Linked DNA regions of Lytechinus pictus. The protein of the gene in region 1 purifies or fractionates together with the protein of each later gene. This does not show direct contact. Links are inferred from orthologs where the notes say so. Each region holds a gene or a part of one and is shown on either strand. Other genes may lie near its edges.

The links. The genes of interacting proteins can lie anywhere in the genome.
Region 2: the proteins of 26S proteasome complex subunit SEM1-like (region 1) and ubiquitin-protein ligase E3C-like purify together in Homo sapiens (affinity purification with western blotting; 3 studies listed by BioGRID and IntAct, with this or other methods). This does not show direct contact. The link is inferred for Lytechinus pictus from reciprocal best matches to the Homo sapiens genes SEM1 and UBE3C.

What each region holds. Positions count from the first base shown.
Region 1 is NC_087247.1:71,573,675-71,580,803, forward strand, and holds the start of 26S proteasome complex subunit SEM1-like, read right to left. Parts: upstream 3,024-7,129; 5' UTR 2,978-3,023; coding exon 2,893-2,977; intron 974-2,892; coding exon 877-973; intron 1-876. UniProt on the Homo sapiens protein: Component of the 26S proteasome, a multiprotein complex involved in the ATP-dependent degradation of ubiquitinated proteins.
Region 2 is NC_087255.1:24,586,256-24,594,061, forward strand, and holds the start of ubiquitin-protein ligase E3C-like, read left to right. Parts: upstream 1-4,779; 5' UTR 4,780-4,906; intron 4,907-7,806. UniProt on the Homo sapiens protein: E3 ubiquitin-protein ligase that specifically catalyzes 'Lys-29'- and 'Lys-48'-linked polyubiquitin chains.

The sequences.
Region 1 (7,129 bases):
TTATGCGTATGTTAATTAATCAAGAAAAATAAACAAGAGAACCAGTAAATCAGTAAATTATCTTCACTGAAAGAAAATTCCTTTTCATTGTCATTTTGGCCACAACTTGGACAAAGCTTCCCGCCTTTAATCTTCCACATGTTGCTCTGATGATGCGCTGCTGCAAGTCATCCAGATCTGCAGGTGGGGTGCTGTACACCTTTGACTTCAGGTACCCCCAGACGAAGACAGGCAGACACTTCGCAGGGCCTTGGCAGCAATGCTCCATCGAGCTCAGAAGTGCATCAAGAGAAATGGACAACATGTGGAAGATTGAAGGCAGGAAGCTTTGTCCAAGTTGTGGCCAAAATGACAATGAAAAGGAGCTTTTTTCAGTGAAGATAATATATTGATTTACCTGTTCTCTTGCTTATTTTTTTTGATGAATAAACATACACATAAACTTTACTCTCATTGTTTAAATGCTTTTGTCCCCGTTCCAGCAGGTAATCACATGACTTGGTGCAAATGGGTTTTGACACTTTTTCAAACAATGGCTGTTGTGCACTCAACCATAACAACAACATTGAAACAAATTTTACCAAGTAACAAAGGAATGTTTACTCTATCCATACATGCTAGAAATTCTCTCTGAATCCCACATTTTCTTTAAAAAATACTAAATTAAAAAAGTCTAACATTTTTCTGACTCGCACTGTATTATACAATATTTCAGCTGCTCCCCACATCTCCAACCCCACTACTTACACACACACCTGCATAGATGATACCATTTACACACACTTTGGATTTTGTTACACACATTTCTGTCAGTCTGTTACACACCTCAAAATGGTAAAATGATAGTGCTCTTTGTTTGGGAGAACAGAGTTTTACCTAAGTTGCTTAGAGAAGTCATCTTCTACATTGTCATCATCCCAGTTGTCTTCCCATACATTGTTATCTGATTGATCTTCTTCATCACGTTTCCATTCTAGATGAAAGAAAAATAATGTAAGAAATAACAAGCACCCATCACTTTAAAATTATACCCATGTGACTTCATTACATTAAAACTGTTTTTTTCTTACAGTCTACAGGTATATCAGACATATCTTATCAATAATTAAAGGGGAATGAAACCTTTGGAACAAGTGGGCTTGTGTGGAAACAGAAAAATAAAAGAATAAAATCAAAGAAAGTTTGAGAAAGATTGGAGTTCTAGACAAAATAATGAGAAAGTTATGAGCATTTGAATATTGCTATCACTAATGCTATGGAGATACTCCCATTGTCAATGCGACAAAGATGTCTGATGTCACATGTGAACAACATTCCCTTTGATGGACTATAAAATAGCCCAGGATCCTTGCAAACATTATACATTTAAGTGCAAATATTGAATTATAGAAATAGAACTATAAAGACAACAATGATAGCTTTTATATTGCATCATTGAGTTACAAATCAATATTTGCGTAATTACATGTTTTTTTTTACATATTCTCTGCCAGATTCTCACTTTTAAGACAAATGGCTCAAAGCTTTCACTGAAATGTACTTTTTTTGAAGAACAATTGTTTTTTATTTCATCAGGATAGACTTCCCCTTATAATCTCTCTTTATCTCTTCAACTTTCCTTGACAAAGAATAACCATAGAACTGAACATCAAGGGGTCTCCAAACCATCAGCAGGGGCCGCGGAAACGGGGGGCTGGGGGGCTTCAACCCCCCCCCACTTTTTTCCAAACCATGTACAAAAACGTAACAAGTGGAATGCCTCTGGCCGTCTCACCTGCATCACGCGATTCAATATAGCAGCAGTGCTGATTTTGAAAACTACTATAACTCGCACAAGATGTTCAGTGATACTTGGTTACTCTTATTTCCACGTTTTATGAACTAGACCAATACACTTATAGAGATATGATGGCAATTCAACAAATACCCCCAACGTGGCCAAAGTTCTTTGACCTTACATGACCTTTGACCTTGATCATGTGACCTGAAACTCGCACAGGATGTTCAGTGATACTTGATTATTATTATGTCCAAGTTTTATGAACTAGACCAACACACTTTCAAATTTATGGCTGTAATTCAACAAATACCCCAATTTGGCCAAAGTTCATTGACCCTAAATGACCTTTGACCTTGATCATATGACCTGAAACTTGCACAGGATGTTCAGTAATACTTGATTACTATTATGTCCAAGTTTCATGAATCAGATCCATAAACTTTCAAAGTTATGATGGTAATTCAACAAATACCCCCAATTCGGCCAAAGTTCATTGACCCTAAATGACCTTTGACCTTGGTCATGTGATGTGAAACTCATGCAGGATGTTCAGTGATACTTGATTAACCTTATGTATAAGTTTCATGAACTAGGTCCATATATTTTCTAAGTTATGATGACATTTCAAAAACTTAACCTTAGGTTAAGATTTTGATGTTGATTCCCCCAACATGGTCTAAGTTCATTGACCCTAAATGACCTTTGACCTTGGTCATGTGACATGAAACTCAGGCAGTATGTTCAGTAATACTTGATTAACCTTATGGCCAAGTTTCATGAACTAGGTCCATATACTTTCTAAGTTATGCTGTCATTTCAAAAACTTAACCTCAGGTTAAGATTTGGTGTTGACGCCGCCGTCGCCGCCGCCGTCGGAAAAGCGGCGCCTATAGTCTCACTCTGCTATGCAGGTGAGACAAAAATGACTATATGATTGTGATTTTTTGCATAGTCAGCCCCCCCCCCACTTTTGGCTCAGCCCTCCCCCACTTTGAAAACCGTTCCGCGGCCCCTGATCAGCAAGAAATTCTTCCCCTTTTAATCTCTATTTCTCTCTTCAACTTTCCTTGACAAACAAATCCATAGAACTGAACATTCTGAGCTCTCCTTACCTTCTGCAGGAAATTCTTCAAATTCATCATCCTCTTCCAGAAGACCAAGATCCACTTTCTTGTCTTTGTCTCCCTTGTCTGTCATCTTTGAGTTTGTTACCTAGATGAATGTAAAAAATAAAAATAAAACTGGATTCTCAACTACATGCAGTCAAAGTTTTTGCCTACTCTGCCATTGTCATATAAAGAACATACATATCTAACTTTTAAAATAATGACATCTGCAACCTTTCACCCTGTGCGCACAAAATCCAATCACTTAATCCTCACCCACAGTTTGAAGTTGATCCCTCTAATAGATCTTCAATCACAAGAACAAAATATTTTAGGGCAAGTCAAAGAACTCACATGTATGCATTACTAGTCCAGTAAAACTCATCAAAATTTCAGCATTAGCATAAAGTAAGGTACAAAATACTACAAATGCAATTCTTTTGCTAGAAATAATATTTGAGGGTAAACTGATTCAAAATCAGGTTGATCCCACTTTGGCACCCTTGAGAATTTTCCAATTTTGAAGGTGATAATTACATAGGGCCATGTGTCTTGAACTCGCCCCAATTGTGTTACGTCCCCAAAATTTAATGACAGCGCACCTATTGGTATACAGTGCGTATCAAAAAAAAGTTTACACTTTGAAAAAGCCATAAATAAAAAAATATACAACATGTGGGTAATTTTTTCAAATATAATTTTGGGTTTGGGTCTCATCTATCCATGAAAGTAAAAGTTTTGACAGAATGGGTGATTTCAAGTTCGGTGTTGGCCTTGGTGTTGGTGTTAGTGTTGAAATTTCGATTGCTTCCCCTAGCTCCAAAACTTATTCAGAGTTTGTAAAACTGATCCAGATCACATTATTGACATCTCAACAACTAGTGAGTGACTTTTCGGGACCATCCTCATTTTATGTTTGGTGTTATAATTGTGTAAAAATTGACCCAACACCAACACCAAAAGGTCAACACTGAACTTGAAATCACCCAATGTTACACTTGAGTGAGCACTGTCCATTTTTGTAAAGCTCGCAGAAATCTGTTTGCGCAGAAATGCTTGTTTTCACGCTGTGTCAAGGGGAAAGTGCGATATCAAACTTACCCTGTGAAACAATTCTCATACATTTCCCTTGCACTTTTTAGTCAATTGAAATAAAACGGATACATTCAACCATTTTGTAAGAATTTTGACGTCCAAATTGAAATTCCAACACTTAGTAAGCACAACCTTTACCCTTTATGAGCCAGATGGATCTGAGGACAACTGAATCTGAAAAAAAAGTTTATATCAGGGCAAGTCCAAGAATTTGCGCGTGTTACGTATGGGACATTTCAGAGGCTTTAATGACCTGAAAAATAGTGTTAAATGACTTTGATTAGATTGAATACCCTCATGATGGTAGACATCTAGGAGGAGAATAATCATGCCAAAAATGGCGACGTATGACCCTGACCTTTCAGAGAGAAAAAATGTGCCGTTATGTATGGGACGCAGAAAAAAGACAATTTTTAGAACATTTTTTTCAAGTTGAGAATTCTCTGAAAGTATTTCATTTGACAACTTGTAATTTAGTGTGATAGAAGTCACAACACTCTAGTATATCTAGGGCAAGTTTCATGTCATAAGCCAAAACCCTCTAATTACAGACTCTAATTAAACAAATTAATGACATATTACGTATGGGACACTTTGTCCCCATAGAGAACGTACACAATTGTCCCCATAATTTCAAAAATTCAAATAATTTAAAATATATGGAAATAAAAGAGTTTTTTCTTTTAAAATGTTCTATTGAGACATATTTGATATGACTGGAAAGGAAATTAGCCATTTCAACAATTTTTTTCTTGTTTTTCATGGTTTCATAAATTTCTTATGTATTTCTATTGTTTTTAATTTTTTTTCATATTTTTCAATTTTCACGATTTTTTCGCTTCAATTGTTTTAATCAGTATTCATAACAAACTAGCAGAGCCCGTGGAAATTCCACGGGTTTTGGGGTGTGATTAAGTTAAAAGAATTTGTTGTAGATTGACATGTTTATTCAAGATGGGAAAGAAATAAACATTTGAATTTTAATAATAATAATAATAATAATTAATATCATTTATATAGCGCTTATCACAAAGAATGTCTCTAAGCGCTTAAGAAAATACATAGGAAGACAAGAAATTTCAGCTAAAATTGAATTTTTTAAGAGAAGGTTGTGGTTTGAAAGGAATGTGAAAGTTAGGTTTTTATTTGAAGTCGTAATTTGTTTTGAAAAATATATGATTGATTAAAGGTAAGTTGGACGAATATGATATTTAGTTAAAGTAGCGTTTAAAATATTGCCCCTCATTTTAACTATAAAAGGGGAAGTTTAAAAAGTATTTGGTTTTGGAGGATTTACATTAACCCTTTTATTTACTTGTCAAACGTATTTCATTGCATTAGCATATATTCATTTTATCACCCCGCTTTTTATTTTTTTTTCTGTTCTTTATTTCTATTGGTCCCAAAAAGTAAAGAAGAAAGAAAACATTTTAAAATGGCGCAAGTTAATTTTTTTATTTTATTTTTTATTTTTTGTCCCCTTTATCACTAAAAAAAAAAGGATTAAAGAAAGAAAATAATAAGGAAGTATAAAGGAAAGGAAGGACGAAAGAAAAGAAAGAAGAAGTAAAAAGTAAAGAAAGGATAAATAAAAGGGAAAAAAGAAAGAACAAAGTGAAAGGAGTCAAAGGGAAAAAAATGTAAAATAAGAAAAAGAAAAAAAGTATGAAAGTAATGGGGAAAAAACAAAGAAGCCGTAGTTGCGATATGGACTGAAGTTAGCGATCATAATGATGTGAACCTGCCGCGCAGACACACAGGCGGCGCGGCGCAAACTGCCCCATCCTTCGCGAGGCAGGTTCACATTATTATGATCGCTAACTTTAGTCCATATCGCAACTACGGCGAAGTCCAACTGAGAATTTAAACGAAGGCGTCGAGATCGGCTGAAGTTCAGGTTATGGATTGATTAGACATTTGGGAATAAAATTATTATATTGTGCCAAAATTAATTGGCGAAACTCGCCCGGTGCGAAAGTGCATTTCAGTTGTGACAGAATGCCAAAATCTCACTTCACGTTCACTTTAAATTCTACACATGATTAAAATCAAAGTTTAAAAAGTATTTGGTTTTGGAGGATTTACATTAACCCTTTTATTTACTTGTTCAACGTATTTCATTGCATTAGCTGATATTCATTATATCGCCCCGCCTTTTATTTTTATTTTTTAATTTTTTTTACTGTTTTTTATTTCTATAGGTCCCAAAAAGTAAAGAAAGAAGAAAACATTTTAAAAAGACGCAAGTTTATTTTTTTTCATTTATTTTTTTTTTTGTCCCCTTTATCACTAAAAAAAAGGATTAAAGAAAATAAAGAAAAGGAAGGACGAAAGAAAAAAAAGAAGAAGTGAAAGGTAAAGAAAGGATAAATAAAAGGGAAGAAAGAAAGAACAAAGTGAAAGGAGTCAAAGGGAAAAAATGTAAAATAAAAAGGGAAAAAATGTTAAATAAAAATAAAAAGAAAAAAGTATGAAAGCAATGGGGCAAAAACAAAGAACAAAAGAATCAAAGAAGGAATGAAAGAAATGAAGCAAGCAAAGCAAATTAAGATAGAAAGAACGAAAGACAGAAAACCTGCCGCGCGGACACACAGGCGGCGCAGCGCGAACTGCCCCATCCTTCGCGAGGCAGGTTCACATTATTATGATCGCTAACTTCAGTCCATATCGCAACTACGGCAAAGTCCAATTGAGAATTTAAACGAAGGCGTCGAGATCGAAGCCGAAATACACTCGTTGCCGATGCTCGATGTGGCTGAAATTCAGGTTATGGATTGATAAATCTGGACAAAATCAATTTGCGAAAATCGCCAGGTGCGAAAGTGCATTTCAGTTGTGACAGAATGCCAAAATCTCATTTCACGTTCACTTTAAATTCTACACATGATTCAAATCAAAGATCTCGCCATGTTTTATAATATATTTGTCCTTTTAAACGGTATTGGAATGTGGTTACGCCTTGTTTTGTTTTCCACAGTAATTATTGCATGTCTGAACAGAGGTGAAATATTTGTTGTGAAGCACTGTGTGAATGTTGTGTGATCATGGAGCTATGGTGTGATGGTATTCTAATTAATTCATCATTTTTGTTATAAGACTGTAAACCTGGTGGATGTGAGGGAGTGGCCTGGATGAAAGGATCGAAAGT
Region 2 (7,806 bases), on another chromosome or scaffold:
CCTCGAGGAGGAGATGAAGTCAGTGAACATGACCTGGGGTACCGGTAGTTTCCAGAAGAAGGCCCAGCTCAAAACCGCCAGGACTCGGGAGTGGAGATCCGAATACTTCGTTGCTGCCCTCCATATGAGGAGGCTGTAAGTTAGGTAATTCAGATGTCAAGTTTTCTTTTGGGGTCTTTGTGTATCCTCTATTATGAGAATTATGGAAAAGAGATGGTGATTTAATGGTTTTAAAGATGTAAAATATGAAATTCTAGCACTTTTTTTAGGCCTAATATGAGTTCGGACACCCTACTTATAATTTTTTTTTGAGGAGCGCGATATTTTTGTACATGACCCAAGCCTAGTTTCACCACAGGTTAATTAATAGCTACACAGCTGTTGCATTTACAATTTTAATAACAATCTACAACAATTGAGCATTTTATAAAATTGAGTGTGTCTAGGAAAGCAAATTCGGAGGCATAAGGAGAGCCATTTATTGAGCTCCATGGAATTATAAACATGAAGGACTGATCTCTGCGACATCGATTTCAGAAGTATTCCCAAGACCAAGTGAACTTACTCATTTTTTTAATAAATATGATGATGTGCTGTTTATCATTATAGTTGAATCATTGATTCACAATCCCATGTATTTTTCTTAATGTGCAAATGGAATTTTACAACACTCTGTAGTAACCCTTGCCCGCCTTAGGTGTAGACATGTATTGCTATTCACTGTAATATAGACGTATTTTTATTCACTGTTCACTGTACTGATTATTTTTCTCTCCATTGTTTTAAAAAAATTATTCAGATACATCGCATCTACCAGCAAAGAACGTGTGCCAGTACAGGGAAGGAATGTACCTGTCGCACGTGAACTCTTCAGAGGCAGTGAGGACAACAAGATCTGCAAGCAAGTGATCCTTTTTGTAAGAAAATTTCCAATTTGTACATTTCACAATTAATTTTTTTTAAAGCCTTTGTACACATTTAGAGTATCAAGGCTTACAATATGTAAAAATTAAATGTTTGCCCAAAAATCATTATGGGAAAGGTGGATTTCCAAGGAAAAATCAAATCTATCTTTGTTTACACAGTTGTACGAGCAACCTTATAGGAGGCTTGTCTAGGCTCCGTGATGAAAATACAATGTAAAAATTGATTCACAATCCCATGTATTTTTCTTAAAGTGCAAATGGAATTTTACAACACTCTGTAGTAACCCTTGCTCGCCTTAGGTGTAGACATGTATTGCTATTCACTGTAATATATACGTATTTGTTATTCGCTGTTGTTCACTGTACTGATTATTTTTCTCTCCATTGTTTTTGAAAAAAATTCTTCAGATACATCGCATCTACCAGCAAAGAATGTGTGCCAGTAGAGGAAAGGAATGTACCTGTCGCACGTGAACTCTTCAGAGGCAGTGAGGACAAGATCTGCAAGCAAGTGATCCTTTTTGTAAGAAAATTTCCAATTTGTACATTTTACAATTAATTTTTTTTTAAGCCTTTGTACACATTTAGAGTATCAAGGCTTACAAAATGTAAAAAATTAATGTTTGCCCAAAAATCATTATGGGAAAGGTGGATTTCCGAGGGAAATCTATCTTTGTTTACACAGTTGTACGAGCAACCTTATAGGAGGCTTGTCTAGGCTCCGTGATGAAAATACAATGTAAAAATGATAAAATTATCTTCATGGAGTCCTCTAGGCTAGCCAGTGACATGGGCCCAGGCCCATCAATTTTAATTCATGCTTTTGCATAACCAAATGGCGTGAATTTGGAACTGGAAGTATAATTTCAGATTGACCTCCGAAATGAAACGTGCAGGCCTGGAGGCTGAAGTATTTTTTTATCTTTGAAATTAAATTGGTTCTCGTTGTTTTTTACCTCTGACTTACCAGTATGTGTGGGGGTACCGTAGAAGTAGAATTAAAGGGATGGTCCAGGCTGGAAACATATCTCAATAAATAGAGTAAAATTCACAGAGCAAAATGCTGAAAACTTGATCAAAATTTGATAATTAATTAAGGTTTTGAATTTTAAAGATTTGCATTATTCCGGTGAAATAGTTCTAGGCATGTCTTTATGAATATTCATTAGGTTGGCTGATGATGTCATATCCCAATTGCCCTTTTGTATTTTATTATATGAGATTAGGTTTATTAAGATATTTTTAACCAAGAACTATTGACAATTGGATTGACAACTGATTAGGTGCATTAGTTATTGACGCAACTTATTTCATTACAATGGAGACGCATCATTTACACATGTATGAAAAAATCAAACATTTATGATTTCATCTAGTAACATAAAAAAAAGGAAAGTGGAGATGTGACATCAGCCCACCTAATGAATATTCATGACGAAGTGCATACAACTGTTTTCACAAAATATTGATAAACTTTAAAATTCAATAACTTCTTGTTATCCTATTTTGATGAAATTTTCATCATTTTGCTCTGTGAATTTTACTCAAGTATTATTTAGATGTAAATATTTTCGGCCCGGACCATCCCTTTAATCCTCTGATAAAATTTTGTATTTCATTTTTTTTTTTTTGCTTTGTCTTGCGTTTTTAAACATGTTCTGGGAACTGCTTTTTGAAAGTTGTCAGCATTAACAAGTTGTCTTTTTCCGACAGTTACCATAGTAACAGTCAGAGGCCAGTGCTTCTCAGCCAATCAAAAGCAATGATTTCACTGAAATAGTCGGCACTGACAATCATGAAATACCCATCAGATGTTAGCAGATAATGTGCAACATAGACTCCTAGATACATATATGCAAACATACATAGTCTAAGTCTTTATTATTAAAATAAATGTATAGGTATAAGGTCGAGGCAATTTTATCTCTGCGATGTCAATTTCAGAAGTATTCCCAAGACCATGTGAACTTACTATACATGTTGTAATAAAAATGATGTGCTGTCTATCATTATAGTTGAATCATTGATTCATTTATAATTGAATCATTGAAATATGGAACTTAGAGAAGTTTCACTATCCCATGTATTTTCTTTATGTGCAGATATAATTTTACACCACTGAAATTTTGTATTACGGTATTCACTGTACTTATTATTTTTCATTCCATTGGTTTTTTTTTCTAATCTTCAGATACATCGCATCTACCAGCAAAGATCAAGTGCCACTACAGGAAAGGAAGGTACCTGTTTCACGTTTCCTCTTCAGAGCCAGTGAGGGCCCCAAGATCTCAATAAATAATAATTAAAAAAAGACTCCTTTATCATTCCTTTAAAAATAGTACATATTATTTATTGAAGGTAAATGCTTAGATGCATTATATTCAAATTTTGTCTCCAAGCTAGCATGTAAAAATTGGATTGACTACATATTTACTGTGTAAGTTAATGATCTTTGTTGACACATAATACAAGAATTATACACAGCATGTTACAGTTTGTAACATAATTTTCTTTCATTAAATTCCTAGTTTAAATACCATATAGATGTTTTTTGTGACTTTTGTCATTCTCTGATGTTTTTTGGTACAGATTTCAAGAGACTGAGGGATTGATTTACCAGAGCAAGTTTACAGTCCAATCCTGTTATATTGTGCATGTGGAAATTAACAAGGTTTCAATACAATGCTACAAATTTACCTTGATTCATTTCATCAGTCCTATGTGCAAGGATAATTATTTCACTTGTCCATGCACATTGTTATAACAGGAGTGGACATTCAATGTAAAGATTATTGAAGATAATTTATAATTGAAATAACCGCCTGAGAGGGGGGGGGGGTGTGTTGGTACCAATATTATAATGTGTGTGTGCGCAAGGAAAACGAAGGAGTGATTATATGAGAAGAGTAAAAGATCGGGAATGTACATATCCACATGATTCATTTTTGTTTATGCTATACATTGCAGGGTGTTTCTAACTGGTACCACTTGACAATTTATGTTTCCAACTGGTCCTAACTGGTGCTTCCAACTTGTTCTAACTGGCACCAGTTGACAACTGGTGTTTCCAACTGGTTTTAACTGGCACCAGTTGACAACTCATGTTTCCAACTGGTCCTAACTGGCACCAGTTGACAATTGGTGTTTCCAACTGGTTTTAACTGGCACCAGTTGACACCTCATGTTTCCAACTGGTCCTAACTGGCACCAGTTGACAATTTGTGTTTCCAACTGGTTTTAACTGGCACCAGTTGACAACTCATGTTTCCAACTGGTCCTAACTGGCACCAGTTTACAATTGGTGTTTCCAACTGGTTTTAACTGGCACCAGTTGACAACTCATGTTTCCAACTGGTCCTAACTGGTACCAGTTAGGACCAGTTGTCAACTGGTACCAGTTGCTAACTGGTACCAGTTAGGACCAGTTGCCAACTGGTATTTCCAACTGGTACCAGTTACAATTTGTCAACTGGATTCCAGTTGAATCCAGTTGATTCCAGTATTCCAATTTCCATATTGAATCCAGTTCGCTAACTGGAATCAACTGGTACCAGTACCAGTTGGATGAACTGGTCCTTAACTGGTTTTTTGACCTGGGATAATTAAAATGTCTAATTTTTTGCTCGCTCGCTTCGCTTATTCCCAACGTCGTTATTTTAAGTGATAGGCCTACTTAATATTCAGCCCCCTCACAATTGGCTCATTACGCCACTGATTCCATTCATTCTCTTTGGTCTGCAAATCCAAAAGAATTGAAATTGAAAACGAGAACAACAGACTATTTACACCTCCGCCCCCCCCCCCCTCCGATCCGAATATAACCCGGAAGCGGAAGTTAATGCTCCCGCTAGCTGGTCATCAGCTGTCGAATTTCCTACTCATTGACATTGCACAGAGCCAGGAAAAGAATCACGATCCACAAAAGAATTGTATTTAAAGAACTCGTGGGACAGCGAAGTATTTATAGCAGTACATGAAAGGTATTGTACGATTTATTCTGTACTCTGATCGATCGTTAAGAAAAACGTTAAAACTCCAAATTAATGTGTCGGCAAGCGGTCTTTCTTGTCTTGTTTGTTGTGTGTTGTGACTTGGACCGTGGATGAGCAAATGCAATTTTTTATTTTACACCCTGAATGAGTGCGTTCACGATCCCGTGATAAACGTATTCGAATAGCACATGAGTGAAATCGTAGTCGTAAAACATCTGATGTGCTGTGCAAGGACAGGTTTAGTCTTGTGCTCGGGTAACCAGGCGGCTTCTAGAGAGTAAAAATCATTGACTAACGTAATGTCACTCTCATGAAGCCAGGCCTTCTATCCCATAGACCCACACAATGGAAGCCAAAACCTGAAACTTTCACCCCCGAGATTTCTACTTTCCTTCTAAAAGATCTAGGCCTAGCTCTAAATCATGTGCATGGCCACTCAATGTCTGAGGTCCAACATTACATGTATATGTATGGACCTCATAGGCGACATAAGTGATAAAATCGGTTAGACATTGCCGTTTCTATTTGCACACAAGGACTTTGGCAAATGTACGCCTTAATACAAATTGGATGGTAAAAATTTTGGTATAAATTAGTTCTTAACATCTTAAATAATCTATTACAATGGTTAAAAGTTAATGGATTGAGGTTAAACTTACATTTTCAGTCTTTTTTCTTGAATTCTTGGTGAGCGTTCCAAACGCTGTGGGGACTGATTAACTCCGATGTGATTCACGTACTGGTCAGCTGATCGGTCAGGTGATCGGTTGGTTATCTTTTTGTCAGACGTTCATAATTTATATTACAATATATCAATCTTCAGTATCTTGATTTCAAGCATCAGTATTGCAGGGAAAAGTCATTATCGATTGGAATCAGTGGCAGATCGGGGGGGGGGGGGGGGGGGGGTGGTTGAGCATTTCTGGCCCGTTCCACCTTTTGAGATTCATAGTAAATATTTTGGATGTAAAAAAAAATATGTCGTTCGTACAAAATTATGTCCCCCCCCACCTCCTTATGAGAATCACAGCAATATTTGTAATGGGGATATTTTGTTCATATTCTTTGCTCTTTTTTGTCCTTTTCTTTTTTGCTTCTCAAATTTATTTTACTTTGAACAACATGACTTTCTATATTTAATGACAAACTTTTTTAGGGGGGGTGGGGGCTTGCCAAATATAACGCGCGGCAAGATGACCTTCTTTTTTTAGTGACAACTTTTTTTTTATTTGTCAAATTTTACGAGAGACAAAATGACCTTCAATCATTATTAGTTAAACCTTTTTTTTTTTTGGGGGGGGGGGGTAGGGGGCTCGCCAAATAGTGACACACTTTTTTTGTAAAATTTTACGCAAGAAAAAAATGATCTTCAATCATTATCAGTTACCTTTCATTTTTTTTTTTTTTAGGGGGGGGGGCTTGTCAAATTTTACGTGGGACAAATGACCTTCATTTTTTAGTGATTTTTTTTTATACTTGACAAATTATAAGAGGAACAAAATGGCCTTCAATCATTTTTAGTTAAAACCTTTTTTTTTGGGGGGGGGGGTAGGGGGCTCGCCAAATAGTGACACACTTTTTTTGTAAAATTTTACGCAAGAAAAAAATGATCTTCAATCATTATCAGTTACCTTTCATTTTTTTTTTTTTAGGGGGGGGCTTGTCAAATTTTACGTGGGACAAATGACCTTCATTTTTTAGTGATTTTTTTTTATACTTGACAAATTTTAAGAGGAACAAAATGGCCTTCAATCATTTTTAGTTAAAACCTTTTTTTTTTGGGGGGGGGCTTGCCAAATATTTCACAAACAAAATGAACTTCAATTTTAGTGACCATCTTTTTATTACTTTTAAAATTTCACGCAGGACAAAATGACCTTCACTTTTTTTTAATGTTATGTTATATCGAGATTTTTTACCTGACTGCTAAACAAGCACGAATGCCTGTGAGCAAGCAACCAGGGGACCGACGGCTTAAGGTCCTCTCCGAGGGACCTGGTAATGAGGATAAATGCCTTACCAAAGGGCACTAGCGCACCACTTGGTAATCGAACCTGGGTCACCGGAATCCGAAACCCCCGCTCTACCAACTGAGCTATCGCGCCTCCGATATGTTAACCTTGGGGGGGGGGGAGGCTTGCCAAATATTACAAGGACAAAATGACAGTCTTTTATTTTTAGTAACCATCTTTTTTGTTTTACTTGTCAAATCTTACGCGAGACAAAATGACCATTTTTCTGTGATAACCTTTTTTGGGGGGGTTGTCAAATTTTACTTGAGAAAATGCACCCCCCTACTTTGGAAAATCGAAGATTAAGATCATGAGTATAGCCTACATCTCAGAGGCGTAAACAGATGGGGGCATGGCTGGCCATCCCCCGAGTGGATTTCACCTGAAAAAAAAACATGATAAGAGCAAAGGAAGGAAGAAAGAAAGAAAGAAAAAATGAAAGAAAGAAAGAACGAAAGGAAATGTAAAATGGAAGGAAAGTCATGTGAGAACAAATAATCCGGGGGGGGGGGGATCTACTCAGATAATAAAAAAATCTGCCATCTGTAATTAAATTGGATTAGTTAATATCCAGAGGTCCCAGTGCTACCAACATGCATGTAGTGCGGGCAGTGGCGTACCTAGGATTTTCCACAGGGGGCAAAATCGACCGCCAAAAAATTTGACAAGCAAAAAAAAAAAAAAAAAAAAAAAGGTCTTCAAGCTCGTCAGGGGGGGCAGAGATACGTAATTTGCATGGGTTTGTGACTCATCGGGGGGGGGGGGGGGGGGGGGGGGCAGACTGCCCCCCCTAGGTACGCTAGTGCTCGGGACTTACATTAGTATGTAACTATTATCTTCCACTCTCTTATATACCCCTGTTATGCCCCTGCACAG